2 linked regions of the Ovis aries genome follow. The main gene of each other region encodes a partner of the protein of the gene in region 2 in a complex. Links are inferred from orthologs where the notes say so. Each region holds a gene or a part of one and is shown on either strand. Other genes may lie near its edges. The genes, in order: F2RL1 and GNAQ.

The links.
Region 1: the proteins of GNAQ (region 2) and F2RL1 are in contact, whole or in part, in a cryo-EM structure (PDB 9D0A), measured with the Homo sapiens proteins. The link is inferred for Ovis aries from reciprocal best matches to the Homo sapiens genes GNAQ and F2RL1. Residues at the interface, in NP_002063.2 of Homo sapiens: Arg37, Ile323, Tyr325, Asp346, Ile348, Leu349, Gln350, Asn352, Leu353, Glu355, Tyr356, Asn357, Leu358, Val359; in NP_005233.4 of Homo sapiens: His108, Pro109, Ala110, Met114, Gln172, Arg173, Val176, Ile177, Pro180, Met181, Gly182, His183, Ser184, Arg185, Met265, Met268, Leu269, Met274, Asp275, Asn277, Lys280, Lys281, Arg284, Ala285, Leu288, Ile289, Tyr344, Tyr345, Val347, Ser348.

The regions. Positions count from the first base shown.
Region 1 is NC_056060.1:8,047,571-8,051,485, reverse strand, and holds the start of F2RL1 (proteinase-activated receptor 2), read right to left. Parts: upstream 2,717-3,915; 5' UTR 2,560-2,716; coding exon 2,478-2,559; intron 1-2,477. UniProt on the Homo sapiens protein: Receptor for trypsin and trypsin-like enzymes coupled to G proteins.
Region 2 is NC_056055.1:58,949,616-58,953,430, reverse strand, and holds part of GNAQ (guanine nucleotide-binding protein G(q) subunit alpha), read right to left. Parts: intron 2,073-3,815; coding exon 1,888-2,072; intron 1-1,887.

The sequences.
Region 1 (3,915 bases), on a different chromosome or scaffold from region 2:
AGCTGTACACAATTTTTTTGTCTATTTATGAATACATATTTTGTGCATGGATGTATGAAAGCATGAGAAAGGCTAGAAACCAAAATGTTGGCAATGTTTTGGGTAATGAGGGTGATTTAATTAATGCCACCTCCTTTTTGGACTTATTTTTCCTTTACAGTAATCACATACAGCTTGTATCCTTAATGACCAATTACAAAGGGAACACAAGTTTCAGTGTCCGAAAGAAAAATGGAATGACTGCTTTACAGGGGACTTCTCAGACTTGTGACACGGGGGAAAGAAGTAAGTACCTGAAAAAAGCCAACTTAAATGCCAAACTGCCATCAACTGCCGGGAAACTCTGGGCCAGTCCCTTTACTTCATTTTTCATTCACTATTTACTGAGGTCCTTTAGGGAAAGAGATGTGTTGGACCGTGGTGATGGAGGTGCCGGTAGGGGTCCCTGGCCTCCTGGAGTATGTGATCCAGTTGGGGGAGAGAGAAAACTATTTACAGAAGTAACTATCCATCACTCAGATGGTAAAGAATACACACACACACACACACACATGTGATAGGAAAGAAAGCAGGGGTATGATGGACAGTTTTCCTTGCCTCTCCCCCTCAATTCAGCAACCCCCATCTGTGAAATGATAAGGTTACTCTCTAGGCTGAGTTCCTTTCCATAAGGCAGTGTTTTGGGGAAAAACCTTTGGGAAGAAAAGTCTAGTATAGTATGCGTCTTGCTGCAAACTGAGGGGGATACATGAGGGCCAGACTGAAGCGGGTGAGCAAAGACAGGTGCTGAAGGTCAGAAACACTGGTGATGCCATGTTTCTTAATTAAAATCAACTTAGTTTCAAGTTGTGAAGAGAGCTCCATCTACCTAAAGTCTCACTGTTACTGAACTGACCCTTTAGCAAAGTTACCCTGCAAAGGAATAAAAGTATGTGGAAGGCGAAAAAAGTGCAATATTGAATAGTTCTGTTTAACAAGTAACTTGATCTTTGTCGTGTTGTTAAATGAAGTGTGCCTTATACTTCAGAAATCCTCCCAGCTCCTGTCCCTCACTTTGTAAACAAGAGCAAGCCAAACACTCAGGCAAGCTTCCTATTGGAACTGTCTAGATGATAAATTAGAAGAATCCACATCCTCACATTTTGCAGAAGATGTCTGCACATACTAAGCCTTGCCCCTAAATTTTAAGTTTGTAAGTTTAAAAACAGAACGGTAAAGGGACATGTATTCATCACAGTTTCAGTACCTTCAGGAAATAAAATATCTTTATTCTAACGCTGACAATAAAATGTGTACCAGGGGTGTAGTTTTTCAAGTATCCACCATAATAATACCCTTTTCTGTAACTGCAGAAGGAAAAGAATCACATGCTTCTGATTCAAATTCACAGTGATTTGCTGTTTTACAATGTCTTCATGAAGAGGATAAAAGTGAGAACCTGTCTTAACAGGTCTACAAATTTCGCACGGAAACAAAAACTTCCTTTTTAAGGCTCCTCATCCTTTAGCATCACAGTATGAGTTTGAGTAGGCTCCGGGGGCTGTTGGACAGGGAAGCCTGGCGTGCTGCAGTCCATGGGGTCGCAGAGTCGGACACGACTGAGCGACTGAACTGAACTGAAGGCAATACCCGGCCTAACAGCGCCCACGCCCTGGGAGAGCAGCTCAGCCGGGGAGATTCCCCCTCCCGCCTGACAAGTCCGAGCACACCCCGGGCACCGGCTGCGGCGCACAAGCTGGGCACTTCCGTGCCCGGGGAGCGCAGCCTCGGGCCTTCGGACCTGGTGGCGGCCGGTGTGGCACCGAAGGGCCGGGAAACCCGGGGCCCACAGGTCACCTGGTCGAATGTAAAGCAGGGTTCAAGAAGTTCCATTCGTTCACCTGTTCTACTGGCCTACAACCCGGAGCGAGCGCCCGGCCCTGGCTTCCCCACTCCCGCCACGAACCGTCCCAGAGGAGTTGCCGGCCCCGGGGAGGGGGAGGCGGGTTGAATGCCGAGGGCCGACCCCAAAGAGGGGCCTCCAGAAGTTGCCGGAGGCTCAGAAAACGACTCAGAAAATTCCCAGGCCGCGGGCTCCGTCCCGCTCTTTGAGGCCGTCAACTCGCTAACCCCGCGGGTCGCGCAGGACTAGGCAGGAGAGTCTGAAAAGTGTGCGAAAGTTCCTTAATGACTAGTGTTTGCAAAGAAACCTGGGGCTGGTGGGGCGGGGAGGGACTCAGCCCCCCGGGGCGTCCGTAGACGCGAACACCCCGCTGTCTTCCGCTCGCTTCCACAGGCTTCAGCCCCTGCTGGTGGTCCCAGCTGGGGCCCCGGAGACCCCCCTGCTCCGAAGCCTGGAGCGGAGCCGCCGGCTGCGGGGAGGAGGAGGCGGCGGCCGCACTCACCCTTCCCGCATCCACCCAGCGTCCGCCTCCAGCCCACGGCGCCCGAGACCCCCGCTCCCGAGCAGCCCGACCCCTCCCAGCCAAGCCTCTCACCTGCGACGGTGCGGTTGCAGGAGGCAGAGGCCGCCAGCAGGAGGACGCCCCCGAGCAGCCACGCCGCGCTCGGGCTTCGCATCCTGCAGCAGCGCCGACGCCGGGCGGACGGGAAGCCCGCCGCCGCCACAGCCCCGAAACTGAGTCCCCCTCTCCGCTCGGCTCGGGTAGGAAGCCACCCTCCCGCCGGCCCCTGATTGGAGCCTGCGCGCACGCCTCCCGAGAACCCGGTAAGTTTCAGTGAAACTCGAGCCTCTCGCCGCACCTGCGCGCGGCCACGCCCCGGGGCGGGAACGCGCTGCTCCGCCCCGCGGTTCCGAGACCGGGAGTCCCGGGCCCCGCCCCGGCCCGCCGCCCGAGGTGCGCCCGCCGCGTAGAAACTGTGCTGTGATCTTCGAAAGGTTGGAACCCTCTCGTCGTGGGATCGCCGCGGCCTGCGCAAGGCCGAAAACCGCCTTTAACCTTGAATTACTCCTGCGGAGCCAGCGTTGTCCACCCCCATCCCCCGCCCTTCCTAAAGGGCACACAGCCAAGGCCCGGGCTCGCTGCAGTTATCTTGGGTGCTTGTTGGAGGCCTCCCACTGTCGTCTGCGCTGCGGGATGAGGGGAGACTTTCTAGTCTGCACTGGCAGGATGGACGTCTGCGGGCCCCCGCCAACACGATAGGGAGCAGGCAGGGGCCCGGGCCTGCCGGAGTCTTCAGGGATCTGTGTTTAAGTTTCCGCTCTGCTGTTAACTAGCTGCGACCCCTCATAAACCTCTTACCCCTTCTAGGCGCCCTTCCCGGTCTGTGAAGTGGGAGGGAGAAAACAGTTGTAACAGCTACTTAAAGTACCACGCGTAAATGACTCAGGAGCCCAGTCTAGGTTAATCCCCCGAATGTAAAACGTATGCAATAACTGTTATTCCCATTTTACAGACGAGGAAACTGAATTAAGGTTGAACAAACTGCCCACAGTCGCGCAGCGGTAGTCACGGATTGTAAATGTCCATCACACGTAAACATGGTGACTTCTGCTGTCTCCTATTACTCACTGCTCCCGCCAGAAGCTTTTCTGTGAGAGCCCACAGTCCACAGAATTATGTAAACATTTATATTTACAAGTAGGGCTTCCCAGTGGCGCTAGTGGTAAAGAACCTGCCTGCCAATGCAGGAGATGTAAGAGCCGCGGGATTCGATCCCTGGGTTGGGAAGATCCCCTAGAAGAGGGTGTGGTAACCCACTCCAGTATTCTTGCCTGGAGACTCTCATGGACAGAGGAGAGAAGAGGGCGTGGTAACCCACTCCAGTATTCTTGCCTGGAGACTCTCACGGACAGAGGAGCCTGGCGGGCTGCCGTCCACGAGGTCACATAGAGTCAGACACGACTGAAGCGACTCCGCACATATTTACGAGTTTGTGGGGAGAATACCTGACAGGGCATGAGGCTGAGTATGA
Region 2 (3,815 bases):
AGTTGCTCAGTCATGTCCGACTCTTTGAGACCCCATGGACTGCAGCCTACCAGGCTTCTCTGTCCATGGGATTCTCCAGGCAAGAATACTGGAGTGGGTTACCATTTCCTTCACCAGGGGATCTTCCCGACCTAGGGATCGAACCCGGGTCTCCCGCATTGGAGGCAGACGCTTTAACCTCTGAGCCACCAGGGACTGGCATTATGTATGTGTATATATATGTATTGATAAAACATATACACACATCAATTACACCACACATGTGATAACCAGAATTCATCAGATCATCATATTATCAACCAACTGTAGTCATTGGCATTAAAAAAAAAAATTTTCTTCAACAGAATACTCATAACCGCAACAAAACAAGCATACCACCTATTTCAGAAACTCACTACACTGAGATTTCTAAAGGGGAAAATTCCTGATCCTTTTGAACTCAGACTGCTTCCATATCCAGACAGCTTCCTGTGATTCAGGTACCATATTTCCATGAACCTACTCAGATCTTTCCATTCTTGAGAGGAGAAGCTGGGAGGACTATTTGTGGAAGATCTCGCTGTTATTTGTGGAGAGACTCTCGCTGCCATCGGAAAATGAAGTGTGAAGATATCAATTAGATAAGAAACAGCCAGTTCATTTTAAGGAACCACCTCCAAAAAAGAAATGCCTGATTTGAAAATGATCTGTATATTTAGAAGCTTCTAAATAGTAAAAGAAGTGGAGGTACAGAGAACTGCTTTATTTTACCTATGATTCATGTTTGTGAGTTACATCTCAGCTTATGAGTCATACTGGGCATGCAGACTTCTTGTTAGTACCCATTGATCCTGGTATATGGAAATATCCTCAAGAGGAGAATATCAAGAGTACTAAGAGAATGAAAATGAATGCTTCGATTGAAGGTCCTCAAATAACTGCAGGTACAAATGCAGTGTTTTGTCAACAAAAGGTTAAGGTTTTACCAACTTACAAGATCAGCACCTACATGTTGTAAGGAATGAAGACTGCATCCACCCTTAGACATTCTGATTGATTAACAGGAAGGGAAGACATTTCTACAATTCTGCTTCCCTCATAAACTCCCAGTATAAACTCAAACCCGAGGACACCCTCAGATGCACCACACTTGTTAGGGATCACGTAGTTATAATATTTGGAGAGTAAGCAATGACAGCATTTGTTTTCACCTGAATAAAAAAATCTGGCTTTCTATTTCAGTTAAGAAATAATGCTGAATATTGGGAAAGTTTGCTTGGTTTTTAAAAAGCTAAAATTTTAGATTTTTTTCCCCTAACCCTTTCTCAAGTGATTTTAGAAGTTTCCATTATTTTAACACAACTGCAGGGAAACGTGTTTGAAAGGTTACTGGAAGCGACAGATGGGCTTATTTTGAAATAAAATTAAGCCTGTGGTACTACTGAAAGGAAGTCACGAAATCCAAAATTAAACTGGACAGAATGGTCTGAAGCTGTTTTTGTTCTTTGTTCAGGAAGCACAAAGAGTGGGAGGCTGAGGCAAGGCCACCACTTCTCATGTGAATCCCCTCACTCGGGTCAGTTTGTCTTGAACTGATAAAACTCTCTTCTTAACGTAACATGCGCCCCCACATTTTAAACATCCATACACCTACTGTCAAATATCCAGACATGTCCTTCACTGATATCACTAAGAATACAACTCCAATCTTTTATAGCTGTGACTTTATAAAGACTTAAGGAAGAAAAAACCATTTATAAACAACTGTGCTGAGCTATTAAAAACCCCATTTTAGGATGAGGTGGAAAATGCCCATTTAAAACAGACAATGTGCATCCCAGACATGTGAAGAGACCATTCGCCCTGGGAATGGCTTCGCCAGCCGTTCTCAGGAGGAGCCACGCCTACCTTATTGTGCTCGTACTTGTAGGGGATCTTGAGCGTGTCCATGGCTCTGATCATAGCCTGCATGGCCGTGAAGATGTTCTGATACACCAGCTTGGTGAAGCCCCTTTTGTCTTCATCAGAGTAGCCCGATCCATGGATGATTCTCATCTGCTTGATAAAGGTACTCTTGCCACTCTCTCCTGTCCCTGCAAGAGAAACGACAGCAGCTCATCAGACCATGAGACCTTCTCACAGTCTTCCAGACAACTACACTATTCATAGGAGCAGGCCTTGGATGTGGCATCCTGAGGGCCTGCTGAGAGGAGCATCAGAGGAGAGCAGCATCACCAGCGGGGGAAGTGCCACCGAGGGTGAGCACTCAGCAAGATGAGAGGAGTGAGACTCCAGCTCAGAGGCAGACTTTAAGAAAATAAACAAACAACTGTCACCTTTTTGGAAGCCACTCAGCATGGAATTTTGATAGTGACTTGTAACCATGTATCTTATAAGAAACACAATGAAAGCAGCATGGTTTGAACAGAATAAACACTTGATAAAGCTCTCTTCCCTACAGTATGTCTGAAACGCTTCCAGCAGACCGGGATGTTTAGCCAGGATCTGGATCTGAAGATGACAATGCACTTATACAAATCTGTTCAGACATCAGTAAGACAACATGCCAGAAAATTTCTAGACACTTTCTCATACTTTAAAATGGGGTATATGGAGAGCATGGTATCCAGGTAAGAATCCAGATACTTCGGGATAGCAAGTAGCAACTGTATTTATTTCCAGGGGGTTCGGTTGGCTGAGTTGTGTCAAGGAATCACTCAATTCAGGAAAAGACACAGGAACTTTCCTTCTTTCTGCCTACTCTTAACTATGACACAGAAATTCACTATTACTGATTTTCTTTCTTCTGTGTTCTCATTTTCCCCTTCTTCAGTATTCCTTTTTGGTGACCATGAGCATACAGAGAATCCATAACAAAGCTACAAATGCCCGAAAGATGAGATCATTTCACTGAATGACAACATATTTCTTCTATGGTGAATCTGAAACTATAAATCTAAAAACTTCATTTTTTAAAATGTAAGTTGTTTTGGAGGACGTGCAACTTTATTTCTGAGTATCTCTCTCTCACTGTCAAATCTCCTTGAAATTTTCAAAATAATAAATGTCTTCCCCACGATGTGGGGGAAAAAAAATCAAAGTTTTTAGGATAGTAAGCATGGCAGAATATAATAATAATAATAATACTCAGGATGATTGCAGCACCCTTGATGCCATTTCCTATCAACAAGACATTAAAAAAAAAAAAAAAAAGGTGGAAAAGGAGAACTGAAAACTAGGAATACGACATCTGTCCTAACTTTGGTTTTTCTGGTGGTTGGATTTCATTACTATCTTTATAAACAATCATGAAAAATTCAAATAAGTATTACAGTTTTCATAGAAGCACTCTTAAATGACTACAGATGTCTTGGTAAACACAGAAGCCTCATATAATTACAAAGATGATTTCTAGCCCCACAGTCCTGTGGTCGCCAATTCTTTATCCTTTTCATATGACCTTTAATAAAGTGATCTGGAATTTCTTGAAATATAAAGTTAACATTTCCTTTATCATTTTCATATGATTTTAATAAAGTGATTCAGAATTCCTTGAAGCATAAAGTTAACACTGCAATATGAATGCAATCAACACATTTTAACAAGATTAATGCAAGGAGTTAAAAATGAACATATAATTCCATCCATGAATACTGGGTTGGGGAGGGTGGGGGTGCAATATTTAAAGAGAAGTATCCCTAATGGCAATAAAGCTAGGAAATTGTTTCTCATTAGCAATCAACAATTTATAGGAAGAAACCAGTATCTTTACTTTTCTGAGCAATTCAAAGTATGGAAGAAAAAGATCCAAATTGCTTCTCTGCTTATTATCCTTA